Linked DNA regions of Saccharomyces cerevisiae S288C. The protein of the gene in region 2 binds, or shares a complex with, the protein of the main gene of each other region. Each region holds a gene or a part of one and is shown on either strand. Other genes may lie near its edges. A codon is read from its position in the direction of its gene.

The links.
Region 1: the proteins of RPN5 (region 2) and RPN8 are in contact, whole or in part, in a cryo-EM structure (PDB 3J47), measured with the Saccharomyces cerevisiae proteins. Residues at the interface, in NP_010134.1 of Saccharomyces cerevisiae: Ser409 (codon at 614), Gln410 (codon at 611), Leu411 (codon at 608), Leu412 (codon at 605), Asn413 (codon at 602), Glu414 (codon at 599), Trp415 (codon at 596), Asn418 (codon at 587), Glu421 (codon at 578), Leu422 (codon at 575), His425 (codon at 566), Ile426 (codon at 563), Glu427 (codon at 560), Thr428 (codon at 557), Ile429 (codon at 554), Gly430 (codon at 551), His431 (codon at 548), Leu432 (codon at 545), Ile433 (codon at 542), Glu436 (codon at 533), His440 (codon at 521); in NP_014904.3 of Saccharomyces cerevisiae: Gly199 (codon at 1,081), Lys203 (codon at 1,069), Asp206 (codon at 1,060), Glu209 (codon at 1,051), Tyr210 (codon at 1,048), Lys213 (codon at 1,039), Thr224 (codon at 1,006), Ile225 (codon at 1,003), Leu226 (codon at 1,000), Lys228 (codon at 994), Leu229 (codon at 991), Asp231 (codon at 985), Val232 (codon at 982), Phe233 (codon at 979), Leu235 (codon at 973), Leu265 (codon at 883), Val267 (codon at 877), Lys268 (codon at 874), Thr269 (codon at 871), Glu272 (codon at 862).
Region 3: the proteins of RPN5 (region 2) and RPN9 are in contact, whole or in part, in a cryo-EM structure (PDB 5MPE), measured with the Saccharomyces cerevisiae proteins. Residues at the interface, in NP_010134.1 of Saccharomyces cerevisiae: Asn306 (codon at 923), Glu307 (codon at 920), Leu308 (codon at 917), Arg310 (codon at 911), Ile353 (codon at 782), Tyr356 (codon at 773), Tyr357 (codon at 770), Ser358 (codon at 767), Arg359 (codon at 764), Ile360 (codon at 761), Thr361 (codon at 758), Arg364 (codon at 749), Ile399 (codon at 644); in NP_010715.3 of Saccharomyces cerevisiae: Asp322 (codon at 839), Glu325 (codon at 830), His326 (codon at 827), Met329 (codon at 818), Arg330 (codon at 815), Ile332 (codon at 809), Ser333 (codon at 806), Gly339 (codon at 788), Ser340 (codon at 785), Ile341 (codon at 782), Asp342 (codon at 779), Gln343 (codon at 776), Val344 (codon at 773).

What each region holds. Positions count from the first base shown.
Region 1 is NC_001147.6:815,257-818,490, forward strand, and holds RPN8 (proteasome regulatory particle lid subunit RPN8), read right to left. Parts: upstream 1,676-3,234; coding exon 659-1,675; downstream 1-658. Other genes in the region: GCD1 (translation initiation factor eIF2B subunit gamma), read left to right, coding at 1-464; GTPase GPN2, read left to right, coding at 2,036-3,079. UniProt on the Saccharomyces cerevisiae protein: Acts as a regulatory subunit of the 26S proteasome which is involved in the ATP-dependent degradation of ubiquitinated proteins.
Region 2 is NC_001136.10:188,871-192,761, reverse strand, and holds RPN5 (proteasome regulatory particle lid subunit RPN5), read right to left. Parts: upstream 1,839-3,891; coding exon 501-1,838; downstream 1-500. Other genes in the region: LDB17 (Ldb17p), read right to left, coding at 1-12; snoRNA-binding rRNA-processing protein NOP14, read left to right, coding at 2,176-3,891. UniProt on the Saccharomyces cerevisiae protein: Acts as a regulatory subunit of the 26S proteasome which is involved in the ATP-dependent degradation of ubiquitinated proteins.
Region 3 is NC_001136.10:1,320,532-1,324,006, reverse strand, and holds RPN9 (proteasome regulatory particle lid subunit RPN9), read right to left. Parts: upstream 1,803-3,475; coding exon 621-1,802; downstream 1-620. Other genes in the region: BNA7 (arylformamidase), read left to right, coding at 1-553; SNX41 (Snx41p), read right to left, coding at 2,066-3,475. UniProt on the Saccharomyces cerevisiae protein: Acts as a regulatory subunit of the 26S proteasome which is involved in the ATP-dependent degradation of ubiquitinated proteins.

The DNA.
Region 1 (3,234 bases), on a different chromosome or scaffold from region 2:
CTGCCGCTATCGGTGCTGATGCCATAGTAGATCCCAAATGCCAAATCTCTGCTCATAGTAATGTCAAGATGTCTGTTCTCGGTACTCAGGCCAATATTGGTTCCAGATGTCGTGTTGCAGGGTCTCTCTTATTTCCTGGAGTCCATCTTGGTGACGAAGTAATCCTGGAAAATTGTATTATTGGACCTATGGCAAAAATCGGTTCAAAGTGTAAACTCAGCAATTGTTATATCGAAGGCCATTATGTTGTGGAGCCTAAAAATAACTTTAAAGGTGAAACACTGGCCAACGTTTATTTGGATGAAGATGAGGAGGACGAGTTAATATATGATGATAGTGTTATTGCTGGAGAAAGTGAAATCGCCGAAGAAACTGACAGTGATGATAGAAGCGATGAAGATTCTGATGATAGTGAATATACCGACGAGTACGAGTACGAAGATGACGGATTATTTGAGCGTTAATATAAACTTATGTATATTCCTTCAGTCTCTTTAATAGAGACCAAGTAAGTAAGTGGACGAGAATAGAGGCGATATTATGCATTTATATTTGAAATTCAACAGAACATAATTATGCTTAAGCAAATTAACATGTTGTATTAATACATAGCGTTTTACACATCTATTTCATATATTATGTTATGTTAATTTTTGAATTAATTTTTCTTGTTCTTTCGTTGGATCAATGGCGCAGTTGCTTCTTTGTCACCACTCTCACTCTCACTGTCATCAGAGACTTTTGATTGTTTGTCCTTTACTCTTTGTTCTTGAATTTTTTTATTTTGAATTTTGTTTTCAATCAAATCATCAAACGCGATAATTGACCTAACCAAATTGCTTATATATATAACCATTAATTCATCATTAGTTTTCACAGTTAAAGCCTTTTGTAAGTTATTTGAAATATTAATTCTGTCATGATTCTCCACATCTATTTCGTCATCATCAGGTGTTCCCAGATTTGGTAAAAGGTTGAAAACATCTTGTAGCTTGCCCAATATAGTGTGGTTTATCGGTAATTCCTTATTAATGACTTTGTCTAAGTACTCGACAACGTCTTTTAGTTTGCTTTGTAATCCTTTCAAAGATTTTAATTGGTTGGTCAACCGGATAGATAAGCCACCTGCTGCTTGATCACGTACGTCTCTCAATAAGTGTTCTACACCAATTTCTTCAGCTTCTTCGGCCTCAATAGTACAAGGCAAATGAAGAAACGTCTTTTCTGTAGACGTACCATCATCCTTAACTTGCTCAATCGCGACATATGCATCTGTTGGTAAACCAACACCTTGTTGTTTGACATCAACAATTAATAATAGCGGATTATTCTGAGTATATTTTTTAAACAGCTCATTAATCTTGAGGTCAGAAGCCCTTAATTTAGGACCACTATGATACCATCCAATGAGTTTTTCCTTGGCATTAATCTTTTTACACATTTCATTCATGTTTTCAATATAATTATGGTCTAAAAACCACACGTCAGAGTTTTTCTCATCTTCTTCAAACGGTAAGGCAAAGGAATTAGTGACTCTGATAGTGGAACTGTTAGCATCACCTAAGATGACACCAACGCATCTTTTGTTTTCTTTTGTCTGCGTACGCTCATAATGATCCAAAGCAGATAGCAAAACTAGTGGTGCAATGGTAACTTTCTCGTGTTGTAGAGACATTGTAATTTGATTTTCCTTTCTTTCTTTCTTTTTTTAAATTCGAAAAATGCCCTCAATCAGTAGCAGTTGTACAGAAAGCCAACGTTACACTATAGATTGCTTAGCTGTTGGCTTCACAATTATTTCATTGTAGATTCTACGTTACGTGCAACTTGAGTAACGATTTGCCACTGAGGTATCCCCGAACTTTAGTAAAATCAAATTTCGTAATAAGTGATTAGGAATATTGCTACTTAAAGTAAGTGATGCTCATTGAAAGATTGCATTGTGAGTCTTCACTACTTACCGTAATAGAATGGTTTGTTTTCATTTGATTGTTGTTGTGTCAATAGTTTTGATTTTCTACTAGAGAGTACAATAATGCCCTTCGCTCAGATTGTTATTGGTCCACCAGGTTCAGGGAAGTCAACCTATTGCAACGGCTGCTCACAGTTCTTCAATGCCATCGGAAGACATTCCCAGGTAGTGAATATGGATCCTGCTAATGATGCCTTACCTTACCCATGCGCTGTGGATATTCGTGATTTTATAACATTAGAGGAGATCATGCAAGAGCAACAGTTAGGCCCTAATGGAGGTTTGATGTATGCTGTTGAATCATTGGATAATTCTATTGATTTGTTCATTTTACAGATCAAGTCACTTGTAGAAGAAGAAAAAGCATATCTTGTATTCGACTGTCCGGGCCAAGTGGAGCTATTTACTCATCACTCATCTTTGTTCAACATCTTTAAAAAAATGGAAAAGGAATTGGACATTAGGTTTTGTGTTGTAAATTTGATTGACTGTTTTTACATGACATCCCCTTCACAATATATCTCGATTTTGTTACTTGCATTGAGGTCTATGTTAATGATGGATCTCCCTCACATCAACGTTTTTTCTAAAATAGATATGCTGAAATCATACGGAGAATTACCCTTTAGATTAGACTATTATACAGAGGTCCAGGATCTGGATTATTTGGAGCCATATATTGAAAAGGAAGGCTCTAGTGTACTGGGAAAGAAATATAGCAAGTTAACTGAAACAATCAAAGAGCTAGTCTCAGATTTCAACTTAGTATCATTTGAGGTTTTGTCCGTGGATGACAAAGAAAGTATGATAAATCTTCAAGGTGTTATAGATAAAGCAAATGGCTACATATTCGGCGCATCCGAAGTTGGTGGTGATACCGTGTGGGCTGAGGCTTCGCGAGAAGGTGCATTAATAGCGAATTACGACATTCAAGACAGGTGGATAGACAATAAAGAGAAGTATGATAAAGAAGAAGAAGAAAAACGTACGGCGTTGTTAAAAGAACAAGAATTGCAAAATAAAGCTGTTGATGTGAATGAAGAAGATGAGTGGGAAAATGCGCTGAAGGAGTGGGAAGAGAAACAAGGAATGGATTTTGTTAGGTAGCGTGTTCAGGTATCTTTTTCTCGTTCAGCCGTGGAACTTAATTCAAAATTGAAAATTGTATACAGAGTATATATGCATATAATTGAAAGCAGCTTACTACGAAATGTTCTTGAATTGCTGGCCGAGTTGCAAATCAGCTGCAAAGGACAGAACCC
Region 2 (3,891 bases):
ATCTAATATCATGAGTCAAAATGAAAGGAAAAATGTTCGAAGAAAGTATAGGCTAAAGTGACATAAGTTAATCGAAAAAAAAATATTCAAAGTTTAATTCTTGTTTACTAAATGAAAAAAATATTTCACTGTTTAAAGATATGTCTATAGGTGTAGTAATTAATGTTCAGAGTTTTGCTAATCAAACGAAAAAATGACTCTTTACGCTGCTATTAATGTCATTTAAATACCATAAACAGTTTACCGTTTTGACTTTTCACTTTTTTTTTGGGTGTCTTCTTTCCCCTGAAAAATTGAAAAACTAAAATTCCATTAATTGTCACCTTATGTTTTGTGTAAGCAAGTGAAGAGAATGAGAGCAATACGTGGCCATTTTCCATTTGAGTTATATATATGCATAGATAATTTTATCTCACGTACGTAAATACACATTTCGATTAGTAACAGATTTAAAATCAAAACCGGATCTGAGATAATCCGACACTTACTCGAAAATCTCTTCATTTAGCTTGCAAACCGTGCATGATTTCCTCTTTTGTAATTAAATGGCCTATTGTTTCTATATGTTCTAATAGTTCGTCAACATTATGTGACCATTCGTTCAATAATTGGCTTGAGTTTTTTGGTTTTTCAAAATTCACGATTTTGGCTGGGCGATTAACTTTAGCGTATATGATGCCCTGGTTTACCAAATCACTGATGTATGTTTCCGTCTGGCTCTCCGTTAGGTCCAGCAATTCATTCAATCTTAGTAAAGTAATTCTGGAATAGTATTCGGAAATGACTCTTAAATTGTGCTCGATGACCCTTTTTTGTAAATCTTCCCAGTGATGCTTATTAGCTTCTCCACCAAATGCCAAATCATCCTCATTTAAGACGGGCTCATAGGTTTTTTGAACAATTGGCCATCTCATCAACTCATTCGTAGTAAACAATTTTACTAAAGATTCTTGGCTTTCTAATTTTTTCAGGTTGTTATCATTCTGGATTTTGTGAATTAAATCATTTTGTAAATTGCCGTAAGGTGAAAGGACTAAGAAATATACAATGTGCGATAAAACAGGTTTCCACTTAGCCTCATCTGATTTAATGGCGTCTGTTTGATAAATTTCTTGCAGATACTGCGCAACTTCTAGGTATTCTCTCTTGTGCAAACTAATTTTTACCAGAAGATTATAATATTCTAGCTTCAATGACTCGTATTTTGGATTTTTAAAAGTTTTTTTCAGAATTTTTCTTGAAAGCACCGTGGCTTGGGAATAATCACCTTTTAATATACTCAATTCCATTTGCTCTAATATAAACTGAATTTTCTCAGACATTTCCATGGAGCCATAGGTCTCAACCTGTAACTCACACAAGATGTCTGCAGCTTCATCAATCTTACCCTCTTCTTTCTTAATTTCCACCAAATCTTTGGTGACCCTAGCTCTTTCCACTTCTACAAATATTTTGTTCTCTGTAACCACCCTGATAGTTTCAATGACACTAATTCTGGTGTTTAAATCCAAAGATTTCGAGCTTTTCAAATATTCCATAACCTTTTGTATCATATACTGAATTGACAATTTCAACTGACCATGCTTTTTTGAGAGTAGAGTCAATTGCTCATTTAGGTCGTCCCACTTATTCCTTGATGCTAGCAGATCTACAATCTTGGCCAAAACTTCTTTCGAGGAGGCCAGATCTGAAGCTTGTCTGGTTTTCTTCTCCAACACTAACAGTTGGTCTAAAGCAGAGTTACAATCATTTTGAGCGAGCGAATCGATCTTAGGAAACTCTTCCTTCAAAATTTGGCTATAATCCTTGTCAGCCTTAATTGGTGCATCTCTTGACATCTTTCTCTACGTTTACTCTAGCAACAAAAATGGTAGTGAGCCCAGCAGTATATTCCTCTACTCTCTTAATTCAAGATTATCTCTGATGTAGTGTCCTGTTATGGTTTTTCCTTGGATTCCCCTTTGCATTTTGCCACCGAAAAGTCAAAAAGATCACATACAAGACGGGTAATATTGGGGCGATGAGCCGTACAGAACGAGTGAAAAATTTTAGGATTTATTAGGAATAATAATGATAATTTAGAGATGAGCATTTAGCGAGAAGCATCTGAAGGTTGCACTAATTATTACTGTAAATAGTACAGTTGAGAAGCAAATAAAAGGGAAGATCAAATACATGGCCGGTTCACAACTTAAGAATTTAAAGGCCGCCTTGAAGGCCCGTGGACTCACAGGTCAAACAAACGTCAAAAGTAAGAATAAAAAGAATTCCAAAAGACAAGCGAAGGAGTATGATCGTGAAGAAAAAAAAAAGGCCATTGCTGAAATCAGAGAAGAGTTTAATCCGTTTGAAATAAAGGCTGCAAGGAATAAGAGGAGAGATGGTCTGCCTTCTAAAACTGCTGATCGTATTGCTGTGGGTAAGCCTGGTATCTCTAAACAGATCGGTGAAGAACAAAGAAAGCGTGCATTTGAAGCAAGAAAAATGATGAAGAATAAACGTGGTGGTGTGATCGATAAGAGATTTGGTGAAAGAGACAAGTTGTTGACGGAAGAAGAAAAAATGTTGGAACGTTTCACCAGAGAAAGACAAAGCCAATCAAAGAGAAACGCAAATTTATTCAATCTTGAAGACGATGAAGACGACGGTGACATGTTTGGAGACGGTCTTACACATTTAGGTCAATCGCTGTCCCTAGAAGATGAGCTTGCCAATGATGAAGAGGATTTTTTAGCTTCCAAACGATTCAATGAAGATGATGCTGAGCTACAGCAACCTCAAAGAAAAAAAACCAAAGCTGAAGTCATGAAAGAGGTCATTGCCAAATCAAAATTTTACAAACAAGAAAGACAAAAGGCTCAAGGTATAATGGAAGATCAAATAGATAATCTGGATGATAATTTCGAGGATGTTATGTCTGAATTGATGATGACGCAACCCAAGAAGAATCCAATGGAACCTAAGACCGATCTAGATAAGGAGTATGATATCAAAGTGAAAGAACTACAATTGGACAAAAGAGCTGCACCCTCTGATAGAACTAAAACTGAAGAGGAGAAAAACGCTGAAGCTGAAGAAAAAAAACGGGAGTTGGAACAACAGCGTCTTGATCGTATGAACGGTATGATTGAATTAGAAGAAGGCGAAGAAAGAGGAGTAGAGGATTTGGATGATGGATTCTGGGAAAATGAAGAAGACTATGAAGACGATAATGACGGTATTGCTGATTCTGATGATGATATCAAATTTGAAGATCAAGGCAGAGATGAAGGGTTTTCTCAAATTTTAAAGAAAAAGAACATTTCCATTTCATGCCCTAGAACTCATGATGCGTTATTAGATCAAGTAAAAAAATTAGACTTAGATGATCATCCTAAGATTGTTAAGAATATTATCAAAGCTTACCAACCAAAATTGGCTGAAGGTAATAAGGAAAAGTTAGGAAAATTCACCGCTGTTTTACTGAGACACATCATTTTTCTAAGCAATCAAAACTACCTTAAAAACGTTCAAAGTTTTAAACGTACACAAAATGCATTGATCTCAATTCTAAAATCCCTTTCAGAGAAATATAATAGAGAGCTTTCCGAGGAGTGTAGAGATTATATCAATGAAATGCAAGCACGCTATAAAAAGAACCATTTTGATGCTCTATCAAATGGTGATCTGGTATTTTTTTCCATTATTGGTATTCTTTTCTCCACCTCGGACCAGTACCATTTAGTAATAACTCCAGCATTGATTTTAATGAGCCAGTTCCTGGAACAAATCAAGTTTAATTCTTTAAAGAGGATAGCTTTTGGCGCTGTCTTGGTAAGGATTGTTTCACAATATCAACGCATTTCCAAACGGTACATACCGGAGGTGGTTTACTTCTTTCAAAAAATATTA
Region 3 (3,475 bases), 1.1 Mb from region 2:
GATCACAAATCCAAGAAACTTATATGATGCTGTGTCAAATATAACAAGGCTTGTTAAAGAAAAGGGATTAACGAACATTAATATGGTGGGACATTCCGTTGGAGCTACCTTTATTTGGCAGATATTAGCTGCACTCAAAGATCCTCAAGAAAAAATGAGTGAAGCGCAATTGCAAATGTTGGGACTTTTGCAGATCGTGAAGAGAGTATTTCTATTGGATGGTATATACTCGTTAAAGGAACTGTTGGTAGAATACCCAGAGTATGATTGTTTTACAAGACTTGCCTTCCCTGATGGTATTCAAATGTACGAGGAAGAGCCCTCGAGAGTAATGCCTTACGTGAAGAAAGCCCTTTCTCGCTTCAGTATTGATATGCACCTAGTGCATTCTTATAGCGACGAGTTATTAACGTTAAGACAAACTAATTGTTTAATTTCTTGTCTTCAGGATTATCAGTTAAGTTTCAAGTTGTATTTGGACGATTTGGGTTTGCATAATGATGTTTATAAGAATGGTAAAGTTGCGAAGTATATTTTTGACAATATTTGTTGATAGTTGATTTTATTTCTGCATTTATATATATGTGTGCGTGTGTGTTTTATATATAACTGCCAATGGCCTAAACCCAGATGGATTGGCCACGAGCTTCCATTTTTTTGCCCAGTTTTTCTACTTGATCGTTCCATTCAACCAGTCTGTCCTTCATCTTTGTAATTTGGTCACCACTTATGATTCTTGGTTGGACCCAGGAGATGGTAACGAGTTCATTTACTTGGTCAATAGAACCCTTTAATAGACCCAAACTTATGGCTCTCATGACCAGGTGTTCGACATTATCCTTTGGTAGGTGTGTAGCCTTTGAAATATCTTCAAATGAAAGCATCCTAATATTTTTGACAAAAACTGTTTCAATTAATGTCATTAGGCAAATTTTTTGTCGTAAAAATGATTCATGTTGAGCCAATATAGGAATCTTTGATATTTGAACTTTTATCAATGAGTCGAATTTATCAAAATCACCAACGGTTAGAGCATTTAATAATTGGAAAAGCCAATCGTAATTGGAATCGTTGACTATAGTTTCCATTATTGGATGGTGTAATAGTTCGCCAAAATTATAGATTTTGTCACCTAACAATGCTGAGATACTCAAATCATAGGCCAATTGTTGACGTTCGGCTAAAGTAATGCTTGTAGATGGTTCTAAGGTAGAAAGGTATAATAGACTTGTGTAGTAGAAAGAATTGAAATCATTTTTAAATTTAAAATACTGGGAATTTGTAGAATAGAAGCTGTTTGTTATCCTTAATGGAATGGAATCCTTTTTATCCAATGTCTTTTCCAAATCATCTAATAAATCTCTTGCCTTAACGAGGTCGTTCTTTAACAGGTAAGTTCTAGCAATTTCGCTATCTATCAACAAAATACCATCACCATGGTCTTTTGATCCATTATTTCTTTGTTTTTTAGAGTCCAATTCTTGAAATTGAGCCTTCAAATCATCCAAATATTTTAAAGACTCATCGAAATCCTTAGAATCCTTCAAAGAGGCAAGTAGATACTTTACTACTGACAATTGGTTGATTTTATCATAAAATTTAGAAACGAAGTTATCATATAATCTGAGCCTCAATGGTGTAGATTTAGCATCATCAAAAAATTTAGTCAAGGATTCGGACAATTGGAACCACAATTTCTCTTCATAAAATTTCTCAAATTGTTCGAATAAAGGATGCAAAGAGGGATCTGCCTCCATGCGGAGAGTGCTTAATATGGTGTCAATTTCATGATTATTAAACATCTTGCGAAATATAATGTGGTTTCCTCGCGTGTGCCCACTGTTTGCTTTTTGGTACTTAATAGTTTCTTCAATCTAGGTCTAGCTTTTATTTGTTCTTACTTTTGCCACCGGATGAAAGCGGGGAGCGGGTAAGAATGAAAATGATAATAATAGGATAAATGAATGTGTGTATTCAAATTTTTCTAACGTATACGTTATATGTATATATATATATATATATATGTATATGCTATTTGCAACACGATGCGTGACGGTAATGCTTTTTATAGGGCCTCGTCGATTTGTAACTTTGCCAGTTTCCAATTCTTCAGACATTCTTTGATCCATGCTTTGAAGCTAGCTGCGAAAAGTTTCAAGATCTTTCCAATGGTCAAATTAATATGGTTATATGTATGCATTAAGCTGTTGTATGACGAATTGTTAATTTCTAGCATGTCTGATATACAGATTGATAGACAATCTTTCAATTTGGATAAATCTTGGTTCAACTGTTTGATCTGTTTAGATCTTTCTTGTTCAGTCAATTGTTTGATTTCTAATTTATTGAGATTCATTGTTGGCGTAGACGTTTTATAGTTTAGTTTACTTGCGCCTATATGAATTTCGTTTTGGTGTCCACTGGAGCTTGAATTTGAACTTGACTTCGATAGCGATCTTACGTCCTTTTTAACAAATGTCAGGTCAGCAGCCTTTGTATCTTTGTAATTTTCATCTGTCAATATAGTCGACCGCGTTAAACTTTCATTAATCTTCTGCAGTTGGTTTTCAATCTCAGTGAGACTCGAAAGTTTCGTTTCTTTTTCGATAATTAGCCTCTCTAATATTTTAAATTGCAAAAACTTTAATTTCTTGAAATTTAGAACTTTGAATGACTCATTTAAGAACTGCAATAACTCATTAATGGGGTCCTCAAGAATAGAGGTGTACTTTTCTATTAAGATCTCGGAAGAAATGTATATAACATCGAATGAATGGCCTGTCTTTTCAATATGACTAATAATTTCCATCATTGGGTTGTTTGAATTGTTTTCAGATTCGCGAAGGCTGTTGGGCATGGTTATGTCATTTTCCAAACTAAAAGCATTATAATATGCGCCTAATTCAGCAAAATACGTGGACAAGGAGTGGAAATGAGATTTATTTGATCTTATGTTTTTTAATAAATGGGTGATTATTCGCTTATAATTTTGGAATAAATTTTCAATATGTGTAAATTGAGATTCGTTTTGTAAAATTTCTGTTGGGAGGTTGGAAATTTCATTATGACTTTTTACTGTGATGTGTTGTTGCCAAATCGAATTATAGTTTCTCAGAGACGAGTTGGATGGAATAGGTAAAATAGAATGAAGGGGGCTTGGTTTTGTTGGGCTTAAAGGTGGAGCTAAAAGGTTATTCAAAGGTAGTATGATTATCGGCGACGAACTTAAAACATCTTTCCAATTAAATTCAGGGTTTAGAAATTTTTGAAAAACAATATCGTTGCTTATTTCTTGAATGTTCAGACAGTTAGACAAGAATGAATTGAGCATTTTCTTCCTGGTGGAGATAATTTTGGAATCATTTGCTGCGTTTATGGGACTCCATATGTATTTGAGAAGAGAATGCTTGGATGGAATGGGTGGAATAATTATCGTAGGAAGGAGTCTAGTTAGAGATTGCCTCAAAGAATGAAA